Arabidopsis thaliana: one gene and its partner. The protein of the gene in region 1 purifies or fractionates together with the protein of each later gene. This does not show direct contact. Each region holds a gene or a part of one and is shown in the gene's direction. Other genes may lie near its edges.

What was found. Proteins that work in one complex are often made in the same cells at the same time.
Region 2: the proteins of AT3G18600 (region 1) and AT3G57000 fractionate together in Arabidopsis thaliana (co-fractionation; one large-scale study listed by BioGRID). This does not show direct contact.

Annotation. Positions count from the first base shown.
Region 1 is NC_003074.8:6,401,652-6,405,404, reverse strand, and holds the start of AT3G18600 (P-loop containing nucleoside triphosphate hydrolases superfamily protein), read left to right. Parts: upstream 1-2,012; 5' UTR 2,013-2,175; intron 2,176-2,370; 5' UTR 2,371-2,397; coding exon 2,398-2,739; intron 2,740-2,834; coding exon 2,835-3,020; intron 3,021-3,259; coding exon 3,260-3,445; intron 3,446-3,753. Other genes in the region: NUC-L2 (nucleolin like 2), read left to right, coding at 43-160, 251-333, 423-504, 606-1,002, 1,104-1,135.
Region 2 is NC_003074.8:21,090,074-21,093,826, forward strand, and holds the start of AT3G57000 (nucleolar essential protein-like protein), read left to right. Parts: upstream 1-2,109; 5' UTR 2,110-2,294; intron 2,295-2,520; 5' UTR 2,521-2,536; coding exon 2,537-2,857; intron 2,858-2,940; coding exon 2,941-3,033; intron 3,034-3,116; coding exon 3,117-3,261; intron 3,262-3,357; coding exon 3,358-3,471; intron 3,472-3,567; coding exon 3,568-3,653; intron 3,654-3,753. Other genes in the region: EDA7 (embryo sac development arrest 7), read right to left, coding at 100-208, 308-360, 465-533, 648-768, 887-945, 1,040-1,130, 1,196-1,296, 1,392-1,483 and 2 more.

The DNA of each region.
Region 1 (3,753 bases):
TATAAAATGTTGGTGGTATGATATTTATAACCCAAAATACAGAGAGAATTTCTTCAAAGAAGCTGGTGAAGTTGTCGATGTTAGACTTTCTTCATTTGATGATGGGAGTTTTAAGGGATATGGGCATATTGAATTTGCTTCTCCAGAAGAAGCTCAGAAGGTAAGTTCATATTGGGTTTTTTTGGTATCATGGAAGTGGTATTGAAATTACGATGATGATTGGATTCATTTTTGGATGTTTTGAATGTAGGCATTGGAAATGAACGGTAAATTGTTACTAGGCCGCGATGTTCGTCTTGATCTTGCTAACGAGAGGGGTACTCCACGAAACAGGTACGTTTCTTACTTTGCCATATGAGCATGATGGGATTATGTATGTTTTTGTTTATAGGCTAATATCTGGTTTGTTGGACTATATGCAGCAATCCTGGTCGCAAAGGAGAAGGAAGCCAAAGTCGAACGATTTACGTTAGAGGATTCAGTTCTTCTCTTGGCGAAGATGAAGTAAAATTCTTGTCCTAGACTTTTCTTAAACCAATATTAACATGTTACAAAAGCTATTTGTGTAAAACTCTGATGCAAACCACTTTTGTGATCATGATCAGATCAAGAAAGAGTTGAGAAGTCATTTTAGCAAGTGTGGAGAGGTGACAAGGGTTCATGTTCCAACAGATCGTGAGACTGGTGCTTCCAGGGGCTTTGCTTACATAGATTTGACGAGTGGATTCGATGAGGCGTTGCAACTGAGCGGAAGTGAAATTGGAGGAGGGAACATACATGTGGAAGAGTCTAGACCAAGAGATAGTGATGAGGGCCGTTCCTCAAACAGAGCACCTGCTAGAGGAGCACCTCGTGGCCGTCACTCAGATAGAGCACCTCGTGGAGGACGTTTCTCGGATAGAGCACCACGTGGACGTCACTCAGATAGAGGAGCACCTCGTGGCCGTTTCAGTACGCGTGGAAGAGGACCCAGCAAACCAAGTGTAATGGAATCATCCAAAGGTTTGTTTCTTCTTCTTCTCCTCTCCTCTTCCCCTTTTTTGTTGTTGTGCATTGTAGAATTAGTGTTGTTTTAAAACTTGTGTGTTTGTATGGTCTTGCAGGGACGAAGACGGTCTTTAATGATGAAGAGTAGAAGAAAGCTGTTTTTGGTTCTATCTTATAGTAGTAGAGCGTTTTTGGCCTAGTTTCTTTTGTTTTCTGTTGAGAAAAGCATTAAGCTTTATACTCTTCTTAAGATTCTTTTTGTTGGTTTTTCTTAAAACTTATTAAGAGCACTTTACTTTGCTGCTCAAAATTTTGGAATAAATCCTTTTGACTTCATTAGTGGTTCATTGGCATTGCTATCAGCCCTTCTCAGAATAAAGCTTAGACAATTTAAAATCTCTAATTATCATTCTCTGTTGCCCATGCCAAAAGTTTTTGAGTAACATTTTCTAGACAGATCACGTGTTATGAATCTGGCTAAGACAATTCTCAGTTTCTAAAAAAAAATATTTTTTAGAGTTTTCACACGTTAAGAATTTTATTAATGTTTAATTATAAATATACTATTTTGCATTAAACAATTTCCATAATTCTAACCCAATAGTAATTCAATAAATATAAAATTTTCAATCAATATTTCTTGAAAATAACAATATCTTGTTATTATTTATTGAAAAAAATACATTGAAAACCTAAAAATTATATCTTTATAAAACAATTTTTTTTCTTTCTAGAAAATACACTAAGAAAAAGCTGAGGCTTCACAACCGAATTGTTAACCATCTTGATTTTGGGAGTAGTTTGTGAATTGTAAGCCAAAAGAAGAATTGACTAATGTATTTTTAAAATAAAAATAATAGACGGATAAAACTGAAATTATGTGCATTTTAGTTAATCACATACTCATTTTTTTTTTAACACAAGTACATACTTATTTATATAAAAAAAATTGCCGATATTATACGAATTACTGAAATTAGGTGTATAATGAAATAAATGTTAAAAAATAAAAAAATAAATAAAAGGTTACGAATTACACAACTTCAAAGGCTCGTTAAACCCTAAACCTTGTCTCCGCGCCGCGTTATCACTCTTACGTTTCTCTCTCTCTCTCAACTTCTTCCACAGCAAATTTCTTCGATTCTCTGAGCTCTCTCCCATCCTTTTCAAGTGGCTTCGTTTCTAAAAGTAAGTTTTTTTAATCTATGGGTTCTCTTCAAGTGGTTGTTCCTTTTCGAATCTCTGTACCCTAGATGAAATCGAGTACAGCTTTAATTACTCTGTTTTTCTTTGGGATTGCTCTGTTTCCCTTCTCTTAGAGGTGTATAATTACTCTCAAATTTGTTGTTTTTTTCATTCATAAATTCATTAATATTGCTGCAGAATTGATTGGTTGAAGAAAGTGGAAACATGGTTGAATCGGACAAGTCATCCGTTGAAGAGCTGAAGAAGAGGGTTAGGAAGAGAAGCCGTGGGAAGAAGAATGAGCAGCAAAAGGCTGAAGAAAAAACCCACACTGTAGAGGAAAACGCTGATGAAACGCAGAAGAAGAGTGAAAAGAAGGTTAAGAAAGTGAGAGGCAAAATCGAGGAAGAGGAAGAAAAGGTGGAAGCAATGGAAGATGGTGAAGATGAGAAGAATATTGTGATTGTCGGGAAAGGGATAATGACTAATGTGACTTTTGATTCCCTCGACTTATCTGAGCAAACTTCTATAGCTATCAAGGAGATGGGCTTTCAGTACATGACGCAAGTACGTTAATTTTAACCTTCTTCTCACTACATGGTCTTGTGACTTGTTGTAGAGTATGTTTCTAAGTCTCTTAATCATTTTTTGCTATTATTCAGATTCAAGCTGGATCAATTCAGCCCCTTTTGGAGGGGAAGGATGTTCTTGGTGCTGCCAGAACTGGTTCTGGTAAAACTCTTGCTTTTCTCATTCCGGCTGTTGAGTTGCTGTTTAAAGAGCGTTTCTCTCCTCGCAACGGGACTGGTGTGATTGTTATTTGCCCCACAAGGGAACTTGCTATCCAGGTAATTTTCGTTTTTATTAACTTAAGGCATTTTCAACTTGGTAGCAACAACCATGCTGTCATTTCGAGTAGATATGTCCTGTAATTGTTGTAATGCGCTAGGTAGATCAGATCTGTAAGGTTCTCGTTTTTCTTCTAGCTGAATCATTGATATTGCTTTGTGTTTGTAAAGTATGAGCATCGTTGTATGTTATTGCGGCCTCCCATTCTGGTTTTCACTTTACTATTTTGATATTTTAGACTAAAAATGTGGCGGAGGAGTTACTCAAGCATCATTCACAGACAGTCAGCATGGTTATTGGTGGCAATAACAGAAGGTCGGAAGCACAACGCATTGCCAGTGGTTCAAACTTGGTGATAGCAACTCCTGGTCGTCTTCTTGACCATCTTCAGAATACAAAGGCTTTCATTTATAAACACTTGAAGGTACTGTCCTTTCCATTGTTACATTTGGCGTGTTGTCTAGTCTTCTTTGTGTGATGTAAATGCAAAAAGCTTTACTGTTGAGCCACATGGCCATAATTTCCAGTAAACAAACAATATTATGTAAAGGAGCCCATAGATAAATATTTGAACTGTTGACAACAGCTTATGCTATATTATTTCTGTTGCATCAATGTTAGACTTACAAATGGAATACTGCCGATGTGATCCACACATATTCCGTGGTTTGTTTAGGTTTGTAGCTTGGGCTGTAGCAATACTAATAGTTGAAATGTAAATACACAGCTTTA
Region 2 (3,753 bases), about 15 Mb from region 1:
AAAATAACAAAACAGAATATGGTGAATCAAAAATCTCGACATATTTCTTGTTTTTTCAAAAAAATTATGAGGTTAAACCTGTTCTTATCTGATGCTTACCGTGTTTGGATCCCATATTCTAACAATGTGTTTGTCGGTAGTAATCAACTTAGGTTGTTGAGTATTAAGAGTCCGTTGCCACTTAATATTCAAAATTGGGCTCTCGTACCTGCAAGTTTTGCAGAAAATCAATGAACACTGAGGAAATAACCTAACGATATAGCATATACAAAGAATTTTGAGTTAATACAAACACAGTAAGACTTACATGTGATCCTTCACTCTTATGGGAGTTGAAGTACGCAAGTCGTATATGAATACCTGCAGATACCGAACAGCACAATCAACACAACATATCTATATAATCAAATTGACCTACCAATGTTTTAAACCTTTCAGATAAAAAAATGAATATAGCATCAAACCTTTCCCGCGCTACTCCCGACAGCTACTTGAAGACCTTCACTGTCATCAAACTCTATAGCAGTAACCTCCTATTAGCCAATTTAAAGCACAAGATCATCAGAAATCAATGCAATTTTCACCAATCACATGACGTCTAAGCTAAGAAAGTCTGTTTATTTGGAACACAAGTTAGAAAAAATTACCGCAGCAGCATCACCACCATGTGTGACCGCGTTAATTCTAGCAGCAGATGATTTCATTCTCATATCAAAAAATTCCACAGCACCATCCTCACCACCACAAGCAACTAATCCATGGAGGTTGCTGGAAAGAAAATAGTGCTCAAATGTAAGCAATAATAATCTAGAGTACCAGAATCGAATTTTCTCCTAGATGAAATCAAGAAACATAATAGAAAGAAAAGACAGTTCGGTATACAGACCTTCGAGAAACGACATTAAGCGCTGGGGATTGAGTGCTGAGAGGAGAAAGAAATCTTCCCTAAACAGAAAGAAGGCAAAAAACACAAATCATTCTCTAACAAAGACTGAGATAGGTCACAACACTAAACTATTATAAATTCACTGGAAAGTACCTGCTCCAAATTGATTCTATATAGATCAGGTGAGGAAGCAGCGCAAAGAAGATCACAAGACCAGGAATCATATGTCATATCTCTCCCCATCCTGCAAATATGTGAATGCTTTAGACCACGAAAGATATATCTCATAGACCAACAAAGCTAAAGTACCTTGGAATTCGTAAAGTGTGGTGTTTCCCGTATTTGGCGTGTAAATTAATAGAACGATCAGCACATAAGAAGGCAAGCTTTGAGAAGTCATCATCCAATATCTGTAGAGCCAACAAAACACAATACTAAAAAACCAGAAACAAGATAGTTACTATCAATGGTGTTAAGACACATCTCATGGAGCAATAAAAGGTACCTCGAAATCAACTATTTCCGAGTCCAAATGCCTCTCAAACTTCAAAGCAAGCTGATTTAGCTCATAAACTTTTACCTGTGGTGGATATATGCCTAATTCAACAAAAACGAAATCAGTGAAAAGTCACAAGAGAACATTATTTCTTGTCAATAGCATCGAAGTTACAAAGAAAGAAAACGCACCTGAAGCAATCAGATACTCTCCGTCTGGAGTCGCTTTGATTCTAGTAGTGGCAGTCTCAAACTTCAACTCCTGAATCAGCTCCACTCTTTGCATATAATCTTACATCGAAGACAGAAAAAAAGGACGAGCCTTTAAGAGACAGGGTTTATGAAGGGGTTAACGATTCAGAGCTGAGACAGAAACAAGAGGTGAAACTTACGAGGGTTTTTGCGGAGAGCTCGTTGCTTCTTAGGATTAAGCCAAGTAGGAACATTGGGAGCAGAAGAAACATTGTATAACTTAACTCCATTAATGGAGGTCGACTTCAGTCTATCTCCATAAGACGTCATCTTCAAGCAGTTAAGAACAGGAACCCCTAATTCTTCTACCCTTGACGGCGAGTTGCAGAGAAAACGCAAAAATTGAAGCCAAAAATAAAAATGAAAAGAAACACCACTTGTAATACATAAGGCGGTCGTGCTCTCCGGCAGAACAAAAGTCGACGTCGATGGTCACAATTCTAGGTTTCTTGGTCTCTTTTTCTTTTTCTGGGCCTTTTAAAAACCCTAAAACTTAATGGGCCTATTTTACTACAATAAGCCCTTAAACGATTATATAATCTGTGTGAAACAATACAAAAAACAAAAAATAAAAAAACGCCTACCTTTAACTTCGAATTAGGGTTTATCAGGATTCAGTCGCCTGCTCACTTGAATTTCTTCGCAAGCTCAAAAAGTTCCGGTAAGCGATTATTTTCTCTTTTAGCTGTCTTTCATAAAAGGGTTCGATTTAATTTCGAATTTAAGCTCTACTGAACTGTGATTGATTGAGTTGATTCTCTGTAGTAGCGATAACCTTAAAGAAATTTGATTAGTTTTTGTATGAATTCATCGACACTGTAGTATATTTCTTTAGCATCTGATTCTTTAGCTCTGTGGTGTTGTGATTGACTTAAATTTGTGTGTAGAAATTTTTGAAGGAAGATGGTGAGGCCGTATGGGATTAAAGTGAACAAGAGAAAGGAGAGAGAAGAGAGGTATGATAAGGAAGAAGATGAAGTAGAGGAGCAACCAAAGTTTGAGCAAAAACAAAAGGCAAGAGAAAGTTCGAAGAAAGCTAAAAAAGAAAGCACTTCAAGAGCAGAGGAAGATAATGACGAGGAGGAAGTAACTGTGGAAGCAACTGCAGCAGCAGAGGATATTGTGGGAGGGATACCTATTGTCCTTAATGCTCCTAACAAGGAAAAGTCTGGCATTGTATTCGTGCTTGAGAAGGCCTCTCTTGAAGTTGCCAAAGTTGGAAAGGTAATCTGCAGGAATGTTTGCATTACAGTAAGCCTCGGAGTTTGTTTATGGTACTAATATATGTGATTACTGATTGTGTGCAGACTTACCAGCTACTGAACTCGGATGATCATGCTAATTTCTTGAAAAAGAATAACAGAAATCCGGCTGATTACCGACCAGACATTACTCATCAGGTCAGGGTCTTAAAAACTGTTATGTCATATCTAGGTAGCTTATAACAAATTGTGACTCATCTTTAGTGGATCTCCCTCTTCAGGCGCTTCTTATGATTTTGGATAGTCCGGTTAATAAAGCTGGGAGGTTGAAAGCTGTTTATGTTAGAACAGAAAAAGGTGTCCTTTTTGAAGTTAAGCCACATGTTCGTATACCAAGAACTTTCAAACGATTTGCCGGAATCATGTGTTAGTTGTCCAACTTTCCTCTCATCCTTTCTGATATTTTGTTACTTTAACCTCCTCAGTTTTTACTGTCTCTTATCCTATTTGTTGGTCTTGCAGTGCAACTGCTACAAAAGCTGAGCATTACTGCAGTTAACAGCCGTGAGAAGCTTCTACGGTGTGTCAAGAACCCTATCGAAGAACATCATCTACCGGTTAACTCCCACAGAATAGGTAAAAACAAAAAAAAAACTTTAGTTTCCTCCTACATTTTGTTGTTTATCCAGATTATGTGAGCTAAAAAGAGGGATTGTCTCTTTCTTATATCAGGCTTCTCGCATAGCTCTGAGAAACTCGTCAATATGCAGAAACACCTAGCTACTGTATGTGATGATGATAGAGACACAGTTTTTGTGGTTAGTGCTCTCCAAATGTTTCTCTCTAGTCTCTAGCTTCTTCACAAAGTCCATTTAATTTACGTAGTAATAGGCTTTAGCTTGCAACCTCCATATATCG